3 linked regions of the Ovis aries genome follow. The protein of the gene in region 2 binds, or shares a complex with, the protein of the main gene of each other region. Links are inferred from orthologs where the notes say so. Each region holds a gene or a part of one and is shown on either strand. Other genes may lie near its edges. The genes, in order: LAMTOR3, FLCN and LAMTOR4.

Region 1 (3,645 bases), on a different chromosome or scaffold from region 2:
ATGTGATCCAGTATGCTTCCTAACCCAGCACAGAACATAGGTAGCCATGGGCAAATCACTTCCTTTTCTCAGTTCCATAACGAGGACTTTGAACAAAATAATCTCAGATTTTCCAGCTCCAGTGTTCTTTTTGAGGATCTCTGTTAAAACCTTAAGCTCAGCACTTACGGTACAACCAACTCCACATAGACCTTTCAGTGAGTATAAAAAACTTAAATCAGTGGCCAGGTGTAGAATTATCATCATCTACAAATGATGCTTCTGTGGGTTTTGTAAGAGCAAAGGTTAAAAGCTTTTTTCCAATATTCTCACTTAGCTCATAGTTAACCAGAATATTCAACTTATTAATTGTACTGATAATCATAACCTGTTTTAAGTTAGATATTAAGAAGATAGAGATGGTTAGTATTCATTTGAAATTTTTTGAAAAATTGTGAGAACCAGTATTTTTTCCCTTAGTTGTGATTGAATGGTTTTTCTCACCTAAACTGATGAGACCCAATTAGTATTATGAACTTCAGCATTGTGAAGCGTAACTCTTGTGCTTTTTTTTTCTACAAGTTTATGTGTTTTTTTTTTTTTAAATACTCTAAATGTCTTCTCGCTGTATATCCTACATAATTTTTACTTAAATCACTTGTATTTCCAGTGGCCAATGATAATGCTCCAGAGCATGCTTTGAGACCTGGTTTCTTATCAACTTTTGCCCTTGCGACAGACCAAGGGAGCAAACTCGGACTTTCAAAAAATAAAAGTATCATCTGTTACTATAACACCTACCAGGTAAGTTCATAATTATCAAATGGTTTGCTGATGATTTCAACTATTATTCTCTCTTCTTTGTAGAATAGTTTGTTTTAATAATTCTAAATTTTGGTTTCCAAAGTGATGGAATTTTAACATCTTCACCTTCAAATTGGTTATGTTAAACTGTAGTGATTTTTTTTCACATTTTACTTCAGGAATTAATATGAACAATTAGATTAAAAGATTGAATAGTAAAATATATATTATCCTCAAAAGGGTAAGTCAGGTCACTGTTATTAATACCTCCAGTAGATGGTGCCCTTAGCTTATTTAACAACTGTGATTTCTCAAATGACACAGTGGTTGTTGTTGTGACAGATACAGGATTTTCCTTGAAAGTCAAACGATAGTTATTTACATTTGTTATTGCTACTAATCCCATCTTTTGGCTTGATTATATAAATATATAAAATAAATGAGGTTATTATTTGTGGGAGAGAAATTAGTTGCTACAGATCTCTTGATCGCCAGCTGTATTTTCTTTAGAATGAATCAGTAACTTCTTCACAGTAGTAAAGAATCTGCCTGCCAGTGCAGGAGACATGAGAGACACTGTTTCAGTTCCTGGGTCGGGAAGATCCCCTGGAGTAGGACATGGCAACTCACTCCAGTATTGAGCAATTGAGCATACACTGCTTTCCATAGAGCAGAGTTTCCCAGGGTGTAAGTCATGCACTACCAATGATACATATGTGTTACTTTTTATTTTAAAGGTTATGTATTTTAGTATCTATTAGGCAGAAGATAACCAGCTCATCTGACCTTTAATTTAGTCAGTAAAGGTTAGGTTGAAGCTAAATTTTTTAAAAAGATAGCTGATTTTAAGTTAACTTAAATGTAAGTTAATTTAAATTATAGTGGTACAGAGGAGGCAAAAGATTGAGACGTTATAACCACTTGAATGACTGAGAAATAATGCCTTTAGCTCCTTAATTATCAAATATTTATTGAGCCCCTACTATGTAATTGACACTTTGCAGGGCTTTAGAAGATAAAAAAAGATGAGGAAGACACAGCCCCACCTTAGAAACTTTCCAGACTAAGTGATATTAATGTCTCTAAGAGATAATTAGTAAGTCTGTTTTACGGAAATACTTATTTTCAGCTCTTTCACCTTTCATGACGTAATACCATGATGTCAAGCTAGTATCTTACACATTTAAAGTTTTTAGAAAGATTAAGATATTTGATTTGAATTATACCACTTTTTCACTATATAACATTATACTTTAGATCTTGTTCTCTTTTTAGGTGGTTCAATTCAATCGTTTACCTTTGGTAGTGAGTTTCATAGCCAGCAGCAATGCTAATACAGGTATGTTTTAATTACCTTAAATACAGCTTTTAATCTTTATAATACCGGATCTGAACAGTCTAATATGATATGAATACAGATTTAGAGTAAGAAAACCTTAATGCATGGCCCAGCGCTACCATCTATTCCTTGTTTTCTGGAAATATAACTTCTCTGAATTGTTTATATATTATAAACAATTATTTATATAAACAAATATTGTATTGTTTATATCTGTATAATGGAGCTAAGAACTGCTTTCTTGATCTTATGCTATTATTTTTTTAGTTCAGATGAGATGATGTATAGATAAGTGATCATTTACGATAGGAAAATTAAATGTTATTTTCACCTCTTTAATACAGTATCTTGCTCACATTACAACAGTTTCAGAAAGCCAGAAAAAAAAAAAAATCAGTGGAGAAAATAACCAAACAAAACATAAAAATGATCACAGATGAATTCAGGTCCATAAGGACCGATCTATAAAATTTTGAACAATAGTGGGCAAGGTAAATGTGTTTGGGAATTTAAAGAGTGTGACTAGTATGAATATACTCAATTTTTTTTCAAAGTGGAAGAATTTGAGGGCTAACACTTGGAAGCTGTACTTTCTAGAGAGCATTGTAAGATCTCATTATATCCAGTGGTCTTCACTGGCTATTTTTGTGTAAAATCATAACAGTATTCAGTTGAATTACAATTTTTTTTTTTACTCTGTTTTAGTTTAAGTGGAATTTTTTAAAGGTCTGTCTCCAGGTTTCACCACTGTTAGCACTGCTTTACTTTTCTGTTCTGTTTTTTTCTTTCCAAGATATTTGAGCCAGTTTTGTTTCTGACTGTATCACTGAAGCCTGTATTTAGATTGCTCATGTTTAAAATGTGGGGTTTAGATTTAATGAACTGTTGGGTGTCTTTCATTTCTAAATGTTTTCAACCGTAAAATACTGTATGTGAAAACTCTTTGTATAGGATAGTAGTGGTGTCGGTATTTTAAATATGTTAAACCTCAGTTGTGGTAAATCACTATCATACTATAAAATCATCAGTTGTTATAAATTATGATAATCTCCAGAATTGTATTCTAGTACGTAGAACATTTCCTTGTGAATCCCAGGTGCTTTGAATGCTGTGTGAGACAAGAAGATCTTTAGTTGAGCAAAAAACAAGCAGTATTTAAGATATATAGCCTTCTACCCTAGGAAACTAACAAGCTGGATGTGCTGATTTCTAGATTAGCTTGCTTCTTTCAGTGTGTGTTTTATAGTCCTGTGAGGCATCTTTAAAACATTTTTGCCTTTGAAATATCCATTTGTGCCTTAGCTTTACTGAATTTATATAATAAGTATCTGATTATTTCTTTGCTATCTATCTGTTTTTTGATAAAGTTCATTAAAATTGGGTCAGGAAAAGGTCTTTTTTTTTTTTTTGTAAAAATCATGTGTATTATTCTTGAATTGGTGCAAATTTTGAAATAATGAGGTATAGATGAATTAAAGTTTTTCATAAAACTCCAGCAAAAGTATAACACATATATAATTCAT
Region 2 (4,213 bases):
AGGCTGGCATGGGGCGGGGGCAGCGCTGAGTGGGGCAGTCAGGGCTGGGGGTCCCTGGGCCGCTAGAGCATAGATGTGAGAGGAAGGAAGAGCTGGTCAAGGGGACAGAGAATGACCGGCAGCGAGACAAAGTGCACTGTCACTCCAGGGACCACGGAGCAAAATCCACGAGGGAAGCAGAGTCCTGGAAGGGCCAGGGGGCAGAGGGGTGTGGGCACCAAGAAGGCGGAGGTGGCGGGGGGGGGGCGGTGCAGACACAAGTGTCCTCTGCTGGGGAAACCTTAGAGGTGGGGGGTATCCGCTGGGCTGCAGCAGTACTGGAGGCACAGAGGTGAGATGCTGACAGCCCGGCGGACCTGACACGCGCCACACAGCAGGGCCTGGGAGGCAGGCTAAAATGGGGAAAGTCTGTGTTTACCACAGCAGTAAAGTGTGGCCAAGCACTCAGCTGCCACTGCACTGGAGCATGAGGGTCACAGCGGAAGCGGCAGAGTCAACCCAAAAGAGATGCCTGACGACCAGACAGGAGGAGGGGTGGCTGGAAGGCTCAGCGAGCCAGAGTATGGGGGGGGGGGTGGTCCTAGAGGAAGGTGGGCAGTGGGAGAGAAGATAGTTTAAGACAAGAGGACACTTCGCTGGAAGACCTTGAGTTCCATGGAGATTCTGGAGAGCCGCACGAAGAGGCAGGGCTAGGGAGAAGGGTCCAGAATGCCACCCCCACCCCGCCCCCCGCCTGAAGACCTCTACTGGCTCATTGCCCCTCCTAAGTGCTCATGCCCATCCATCACTCTCTCCCCTCTCCCTGCTTTATTGTACTGGATCATATACTTTGTCTCATCTTCAGCAGTTCCTTGCACATAGCGGGCACCAAGTTAACACGTGTTAAATAAATAAGTGAATTTAGGAGCTGCCTGGAGAGAGGACAGTTGTTGCCACAGAAAGTGGAACACTTGTGGAGGGTGTCCACGTGAACCTCTATACTTATCAGGGCCACATGGCCACCATCCCACCTAGGTGACAGCCAGCGGGGCCATTTGCACGAGTTGGGCAGGGCAACACAGTCACACCTCAGCTTCAAGACCTGCCATTTTCTAGGCAAGGAAAAGTATCAGAGCCAATTCTAAGAGCAGCGGGCATGGGAAAAAAAATAAAGTAAGCTGCTTACAGCCAACCTCGAGACTTCCCTGGTGGTTCAGACGGTAAAGCGTCTGCCTACAGTGCGGGAGACCTGGGTTCGATCCCTGGGTTGGAAAGATGCCCTGGAGAAGGAAATGGCAACCCACTCCAGTATTCTTGCTTGGAAAATCCCATAGACGGAGAAGCCTGGTATCACAATGAGTTGGACACGACTGAGTGACTTCACTTTCATAGCCAACCTCAAGTGACAACATGAAAGAGGACGTGGGGACCCCACAGTTCTCAGTGCTTCAGCAGGGGCTCGCCCTGTAAGCTGCGGCCCACAGAAAGTTGATGATGTGATCACAGAGTCCAATGTCTGATCCCTTGAGACACAAGTATTTATATTTAAATATCCTTGTAAAGTTTAAGATATTTAAGTACATAAAGTCATCATCCTTCCTACTCTTGGTTACACATCAGGCCCATTTAACCCTTCAGACCACAGCCCAGCCTGTGGGCAGAGGTGATGCTGCTAAGCTTCTTCTGAGCACCCAAGATCAAACTGTCAGGCTACTCTTTTTCTGAGTGACACTCACTCCTGTCTGACAGGACTTCTGACTCCTGGGATCACAGCCGATATAAAACTTAGCTCTTCAGCCGCTCATCTACAGACTCAAGAAAATCTCTCTCCAGCCCCGAGTAGCCAGGTGATGTCCAACGGGTCCAAATACCTCTCTCAGCATCAGCCTAAAGCTGAGCGCCACCGGCCTGGGAGGGAGCCACGGCCCGAGGGAACCACGGCCCCAGGCACCCTACCTCGGGCAGCGTGAGGCCGGGTCTCCGACTCCAATCTCTACCGGATGCCCAGCAGTCACTCCTCCCCAACCAGCTTTCCAGAAGACAAGAAGCAGCAGAAACCCTCCCCCGCTGGAGACGCTCCTCAACAGGACACCTTGTCGGGCAGGGTGCTGCCCACGCCCTCTCCCACCGCGACAGGAACGTGAGCAACCCCCCGCCCGGGGCACCCCGCCCCTGCAATCCGGCCGGAGGACCGAGTAGGGTTAAGGACGGTCTGGGCACCAACACTCGACAGACAAGCCCAGTTCACGGCGGCTCTCGCCCCACATCGGACGGACTGCAGCTCCCCGACGGCAGCACGGCCTCCGGTACCAGAGACGGGCGTGTGACCCTCGAGGGCATTGAACCACTAAACACTTGGCGCGTGAGCACGTCCACCCCGGGGGTCCCCGTGCTGGGGACCCAATGCCGCCGGCCGCCGCGACCCACCCTTTCGCGACGAGGCCGCGCCTGACCTCACGCGCCAAGCTGGGGGCCTCCTCAGCTCCAGGCCGCCGCACCCCGCCCCCGGCCCGACCTCCCCGCCAGCGGGATCACCCCCCTCGCCCGGAACAGCGTCCCTACTAACCCGACCGGCTGCGGCCCGCCCTGCTCCGAGCCCTCCACCGCGCCGCCCCTCTCGGATCTCCGCCCCCCCGCACCCCGGCTGCCCTCACCAAGTCCCCTCACAAGGGGCCGCGCCCGCCTCGGGCGCGTGACTCTGTCGGGCCGTACCACCGCCCGGAGCCGCGGAGGGGGAGCCGGCCGGCAGACGCCCCCGTACCAGAGGCGCGCGGAGCTCCGCCAGACCCACATCCCGGGAAGACCGCACGGGTCTGGGAGCTCCGAAGTCCAGTGGAACCTTAGAACGGTTGCCAGACCCGTCCTCTCCGCCGCCCAGCCCGCGCCCCCACCGAGAAGCCCGGAGTGGTTGCGCCCGCGCGGGCCGGTGGGGGGCGGGGAGGGGTGGAGGAAACCATTCCAGGAGAGGGGAGGATGAGTTAATTTAAAGAGCATTTTTTAAAGAGAATTGAGGAAAAGTAGATCCATTCTAGGACTCCTGGCTCATACCAGGAGGAAGAGAGAAAAAGGACGTCGCGGATATATAGGATGCTATAATTTCTTTTCGTTTTACCGTTTTTATTAAATTTCCGATGGAACCAGTGTTCGGTGGAGCGCGCGGGCCGGGGGCGGGGCAGGAGGCGGCCGCTGGGTGTCTTAAGAACAGCGCGACGCGGGGACCGGGGCCTGGGAGCGCGCAAGCGCGATTCACCCCGCCTGCCCTCACCCGCTGTAGCACGTCGTTTTAAATGTGGAAAATTCTGAAAGAGATGGGAATACCAGACCACCTAACCTGCCTCTTGAGAAATCTGTATGCAGGTCAGGAAGCAACAGTTAGAACTGCACATGGAACAACAGACTGGTTCCAAATAGGAAAAGGAGTACGTCAAGGCTGTATATTGTCACCCTGCTTATTTAACTTCTATGCAGAGTACATCATGAGAAACGCTGGACTGGAAGAAACACAAGCTGGAATCAAGATTGCCAGGAGAAATATCAATAACCTCAGATATGCAGATGACACCACCCTTATGGCAGAAAGTGAAGAGGAACTAAAAAGCCTCTTGATGAAAGTGAAAGAGGAGAGGGAAAAAGCTGGCTTAAAGCTCAACATTCAGAAAACGAAGATCATGGCATCCGGTCTCATCACTTCATGGGAAGTAGATGGGAAACAGTAGAAACAGTGTCAGACTTTATTTTGAGGGGCTCCAAAATCACCGCAGATGGTGACTGCAGCCATGAAATTAAAAGACGCTTACTCCTTGGAAGAAAAGTTATGACCAATCTAGATAGTATATTCAAAAGCAGAGACATTACTTTGCCGACTAAGGTCTGTCTAGTCAAGGCTATGGTTTTTCCTGTGGTCATGTATGGATGTGAGAGTTGGACTGTGAAGAAGGCTGAGTGCTGAAGAATTGATGCGTTTGAACAGTGGTGTTGGAGAAGACTCTTGAGAGTCCCTTGGACTGCAAGGAGATCCAACCAGTCCATTCTGAAGATCAACCCTGGGATTTCTTTGGAAGGAGTGATGCTAAAGCTGAAACTCCAGTACTTTTGGCCACCTCATGCGAAGAGTTGACTCATTGGGAAAGACTCTGATGCTGGGAGGGATTGTGGGCAGGAGGAGAAGGGGACGACAGAGGATGAGATGGCTGGATGGCATCACTGACTCAATGGACGTGAGTCTGAGTGAACT
Region 3 (4,347 bases), on a different chromosome or scaffold from region 2:
CTGGAGGGGAGACGCACCTTCCCCCAGCCCGGGAGAGGGAAGGGAGCAGAGAGTTAGTGGGTTATGGGGGCCTCAGTGGGGGTCGCACACAAACTGGCTAGGATCCAAAGCCAAAGGAATTCAACAGGTCAAAGCTCAGAGATTAGAAGATGGGAGGTCTCCATTAAATCCCCTCCCTTCTCTTGCTTTTCTCATAGTTCTGATACAGGGGTAAATACCACAGGGAAGACAAGGATTCCAGAGGAGATGGTGGGCAGCTGGTAGGAGACAGGTGTCTTTCCCTGAGAAGAGTGGCCTTGGGGAGCAGCACCCCACCCCCCTTCCCCACTACCAGAGGCCGGGGCTCACCCGACAGACGCTTGAAGGGTACGCTCATGCCTTGGTGCAGCCGGAAACCGCAGGCCGTGCTGACGAGCTCAGAGATGGCGCTGGCAGCCTGCTCGTCATTCTCCAGATCCCCGGATGACTGCACACAGAGGGAGGGGGGCAGGAATCAGGGACAGACTGGGAAGCAACTCCAAGAACCCTTCTGTGTAACCTGTCTCCACTTTCCAACACTGCAACATCACCCCTAGTATTGGAAAAACTTAAAACTTTCCTATGATATTGTTGCCCCTCTTGATGCCATCTTGTTCCAAAATACTGGGCTTCCCTGAGGAAGTAGGAACTCTCATCCATTTCTGTCCATTACTGACCCTGTTTCCCCAATCCCTGAATCTTCATTTCTCTCCCTGTCTCCACTTATTTGAAAAAAATCACATTCTTACAGATTAGTGCCCACCCACCACAGCTAGAGTCCCAGGCTCCATCTTTTCCCATTTCTCATTTGTCACCCTGTCTGCAGAACCTGAAACATAAACATCCCTTTTCTCTCTGAACCCCTTCGGACTACCTGGCCCTTGAATAATGACGTCACAGTGGCCTGGGCTTCCTCTTTTCTGGTAATGATCTCAACTTCTTACCTCCTCAAGGTGGCCCTCCTGCTGGATTCTATACCTGTTTCCTCATCTGTAAACTGGGGACATCAGTACCTATCTTACGTGCTTGTGAGTGTCACAAGAGTACTGGGGCAAGATGCTCAGATTAGCTCCTGGCATTATCTATTTAACGGCTATTCAGTTCAGTTCAGTTGCTCAGTTGTGTCTAACTCTTTGCAACCCCATGGACCGCAGCATGCCAGGCCTCCCTGTCCATCACTAACTCCTGGAGTTTACCCTATTATTCTATATCAAACTTAGTGTTTAAAGCTGCACTATCAAAATCCCCCCTATCTCTCCCCCTCTCCAGTCAACTTCCTTTCTTAAGTCCCTGCTGGTTAAGGCACCATCATTCTAGGCTTGAGGTCAAAGTCTTACAGGATAGAAAAGTATCCCCTTTATTACTGAACTCTAGTCATTACAAAGACAAACCAATTCTTCCTTTAAAAACCCCTTCTCTCCTTGCTTCTCATTGCAACCAGAGGTTTCATACCTACATTTTGGCAACAGCATCCCCGCTTTTGAATCCTGCCCCTTCTGTCTTACCTTTACGCCTAACAGAACAATGCTACTCAATCACTTCATCAGCTTGTTTCTGTTCAAAAACCCTTCAAGATTAATCCAAATGTGTTAACCTAGCCTTGAAAGTCCTTCACAATCGGACCTTTCCTCACCATATCCTCTTCTTCCCCCAAATGTTTCCAAATCTTTTCAACATAACCCCATCACCAATTCAGATAGGCTGGTGTTACACTCCTGCAAAATGTCCACCTCCCAACTCTGAATATTCTTTCTTTCCTGTCATCCATCCATCTTTTAAGCCCAGATGAATTCTTACCTCGTCCAAGGAAGGTTCCTTGCCAAAACACAAGTTATAGTATGAAGGGCTGAATCCTTCACTTTCTGGACTCCTTCAGCTGCGTTAACCACATGCACTACTTTGAACTTTTAGCCTTAAGCCTTGTCTCTAGCTAGATTGAAAACTTCTAGAGCTGACACTGTATTGTACTACAGAACAAAATACCAAGCCTCTTCAATAAATACCAAATAAAGACATACTCAAGAGTAACTTGGGGATTGTCAGTTATCAACAAACCTGTAACTTGCTTGACTTTGGTAAAGTCAGTAAACCTCTTTTACCTCAGGATAGTTACAAGACTGAGAGTCCAGAGATTGATTAATTGATTTAATTCCTACACGCCAGGCGTGATACCAGGGAAAGACAAGAACAGAGACCAATCGGGCCAAACAGGGCAACATTAGAAGGCATCCTAGAGTCATGTGTACTTGGAGCACCCCCCCTCCCGTTTCCAGAACGCACCGCCAGCACCGCGCCTTCACTCAGCACCAGGTAGCCAAGCTGGTCGGGGATTCGCTCCAGCCCCTGAGTCAGTGCCGAAGTCTGGTGGGTAAAGATGCAATTAGTGAGCAGTAGGCCGAAAGGATGGCCCTTGGGCAACCAGAGTGCCTCTCTTGACAGTGCCCCCTGCCCCCGCTCCAGGCCTCTTTACCCAGCCAGGGCCCTTCCAGACCCTCTTCCCTCTACACGGCCTTCAACACTGATGCTCCTGAGCCTCCGTCAGTCCTCTCCTCCGCCCGGGCGCCACCAGCTTTCCACACGTCACCTTTGCTACCCCAAGGGCCCCCTCCCCAAACGCACCTGTGGCCTGCGCCTCCCCCTCAGACTAGTCCCCAGCTTCTACACACCCTCCCAGCGACTTCTCCTTGGCCTTCTACGTCACCACCCCTCCCTTCTCCATTTCCTTCCAGTCCCAGGGAGAATAGGAGGTGAGGCCGGAGGGCACGCTCAGGACCCCGCAACCAAAGAGATTGGGGGACAGGGGTAAGGAACCGCCGGCGCGGCGCGTAACTCCGCGCATGCGTCCTCACTTACCATCGCAGCTCTAGGTGCTGGGGGAGCTTGTAGCCAGACCTAGTTCCGGCTCCAGACCGCGGTCACGTGCTTCCACCCAGCGGTCTCCTCCTCCGGCCCTGCCCTGCCCGACTTTAGTCCCGCCCCCAGGATGCCGATTGGAGAGTGGCTACGTCATCAGACTTACTCTGCCAGTGCGGAGCGCCGCTTCCGAGACGCTCGCGCATTGGCCGCACATCCTCTTGAACATTCATCTCCCTTCCCCTTAGCCCCAGAGCGCGAAGGAGGGGGGCGTGTCGGCGGGGGGCGGGTCTGGAGGCGGGGCCGGAGGGAGGCCGGGCTGAGAGTTTGCGCCTGCGCACACGGGGGCGGCGGGGGCAGACTCCAACAAGGCTAGGTGGCTCGCAAGTGGAATCCTGAGCGAGCCAAAAGACGTAGATAGAGAGCTATTCAGATGCTACTCTTGTGCCTACTTCAGGCAGCTCTCTGACAGGAATTTGTTCCAAAGCGATTTTTCGTCCCGGGATTCTGTAAGAAACTGTGTGATAGAGCATTATACCTCCCTAGTCCATGGGGCGCTAACGGTCGGACACGACTGAGCGACTTCACTCTCACTTTTCACTTTCATGCATTGGAGAAGGAAATGGCAACCTACTCCAGTCTTCTTGCCTGGAGAATCCCAGGGACGGGGAAGCCTGGTGGGCTGCCGTCTATGGGTCGCAGAGTCGGACAGGACTGAAGCGACTTAGCAGCAGCAGCAGCAGCCAAGGCAGCTGCAATACTGAATATTCTCTGCCAGGAATAATTAGAAAATGACCTTGGGGTAATTTTTTAAATATATGAGTGTCATTTAGAAATTTTTTGTTTTAATTTAAGTAGTTTTTAGACCTGCTGCAATATTAATGTGAGGCAAAATGATGATAAACTAATAAAAAAGCTTGATGAGGATTTGGAGACATTGGGGCTCTCATACATTGCTGGTAGGGATGTAAAATAGTGCAGTTGTAGTGGGAAACAGATTGGTGGTTCCTCTGAAAGTTAAATAGAGTTACTATATTTATAAATGAAAGTTAAATAGGACCTAAAAATTCCACTCCTTCATACATACCTAAGAGAACTGAAAACTATGTTTACACAAAAACTTGTACACAGATGTTATGGCAGCATCACTCATAATCGCCCCCAAATGGAAAGCAACCCAAATATTCATAAACTGAAGACCAGATAAAGCAATGCGGCATATCCATACAATGGAACATTGTCCAGTTGTAAAAAGGAGTGAAGTACTGATCTATGCTATCACACAGATAAACCTTGAAAACATGCTAAGTGAACCAGAGATCAAATTACCAACATCCACTGGATCATCGAAAAAGCAAGAGAGTTCCAGAAAAACATCTGTTTCTGCTTTATTGACTATGCCAAAGCCGCTGACTGTGTGGATCACAATGAACTGTGGAAAATTCTGAAAAGATGGGAATACCAGACCACCCGACC

The links.
Region 1: FLCN (region 2) and LAMTOR3 share a complex: the UniProt entries of both Homo sapiens proteins name them as parts of the lysosomal folliculin complex. The link is inferred for Ovis aries from reciprocal best matches to the Homo sapiens genes FLCN and LAMTOR3.
Region 3: FLCN (region 2) and LAMTOR4 share a complex: the UniProt entries of both Homo sapiens proteins name them as parts of the lysosomal folliculin complex. The link is inferred for Ovis aries from reciprocal best matches to the Homo sapiens genes FLCN and LAMTOR4.

Annotation. Positions count from the first base shown.
Region 1 is NC_056059.1:25,128,334-25,131,978, forward strand, and holds part of LAMTOR3 (ragulator complex protein LAMTOR3), read left to right. Parts: intron 1-649; coding exon 650-783; intron 784-2,058; coding exon 2,059-2,122; intron 2,123-3,645. UniProt on the Homo sapiens protein: As part of the Ragulator complex it is involved in amino acid sensing and activation of mTORC1, a signaling complex promoting cell growth in response to growth factors, energy levels, and amino acids.
Region 2 is NC_056064.1:34,662,992-34,667,204, reverse strand, and holds the start of FLCN (folliculin), read right to left. Parts: upstream 2,881-4,213; 5' UTR 2,741-2,880; intron 2,683-2,740; exon of another isoform or gene 2,546-2,682; intron 1-2,545. UniProt on the Homo sapiens protein: Multi-functional protein, involved in both the cellular response to amino acid availability and in the regulation of glycolysis.
Region 3 is NC_056077.1:36,680,810-36,685,156, forward strand, and holds the start of LAMTOR4 (ragulator complex protein LAMTOR4), read right to left. Parts: upstream 2,930-4,347; 5' UTR 2,875-2,929; coding exon 2,872-2,874; intron 2,380-2,871; coding exon 2,299-2,379; intron 467-2,298; coding exon 164-466; 3' UTR 1-163. UniProt on the Homo sapiens protein: As part of the Ragulator complex it is involved in amino acid sensing and activation of mTORC1, a signaling complex promoting cell growth in response to growth factors, energy levels, and amino acids.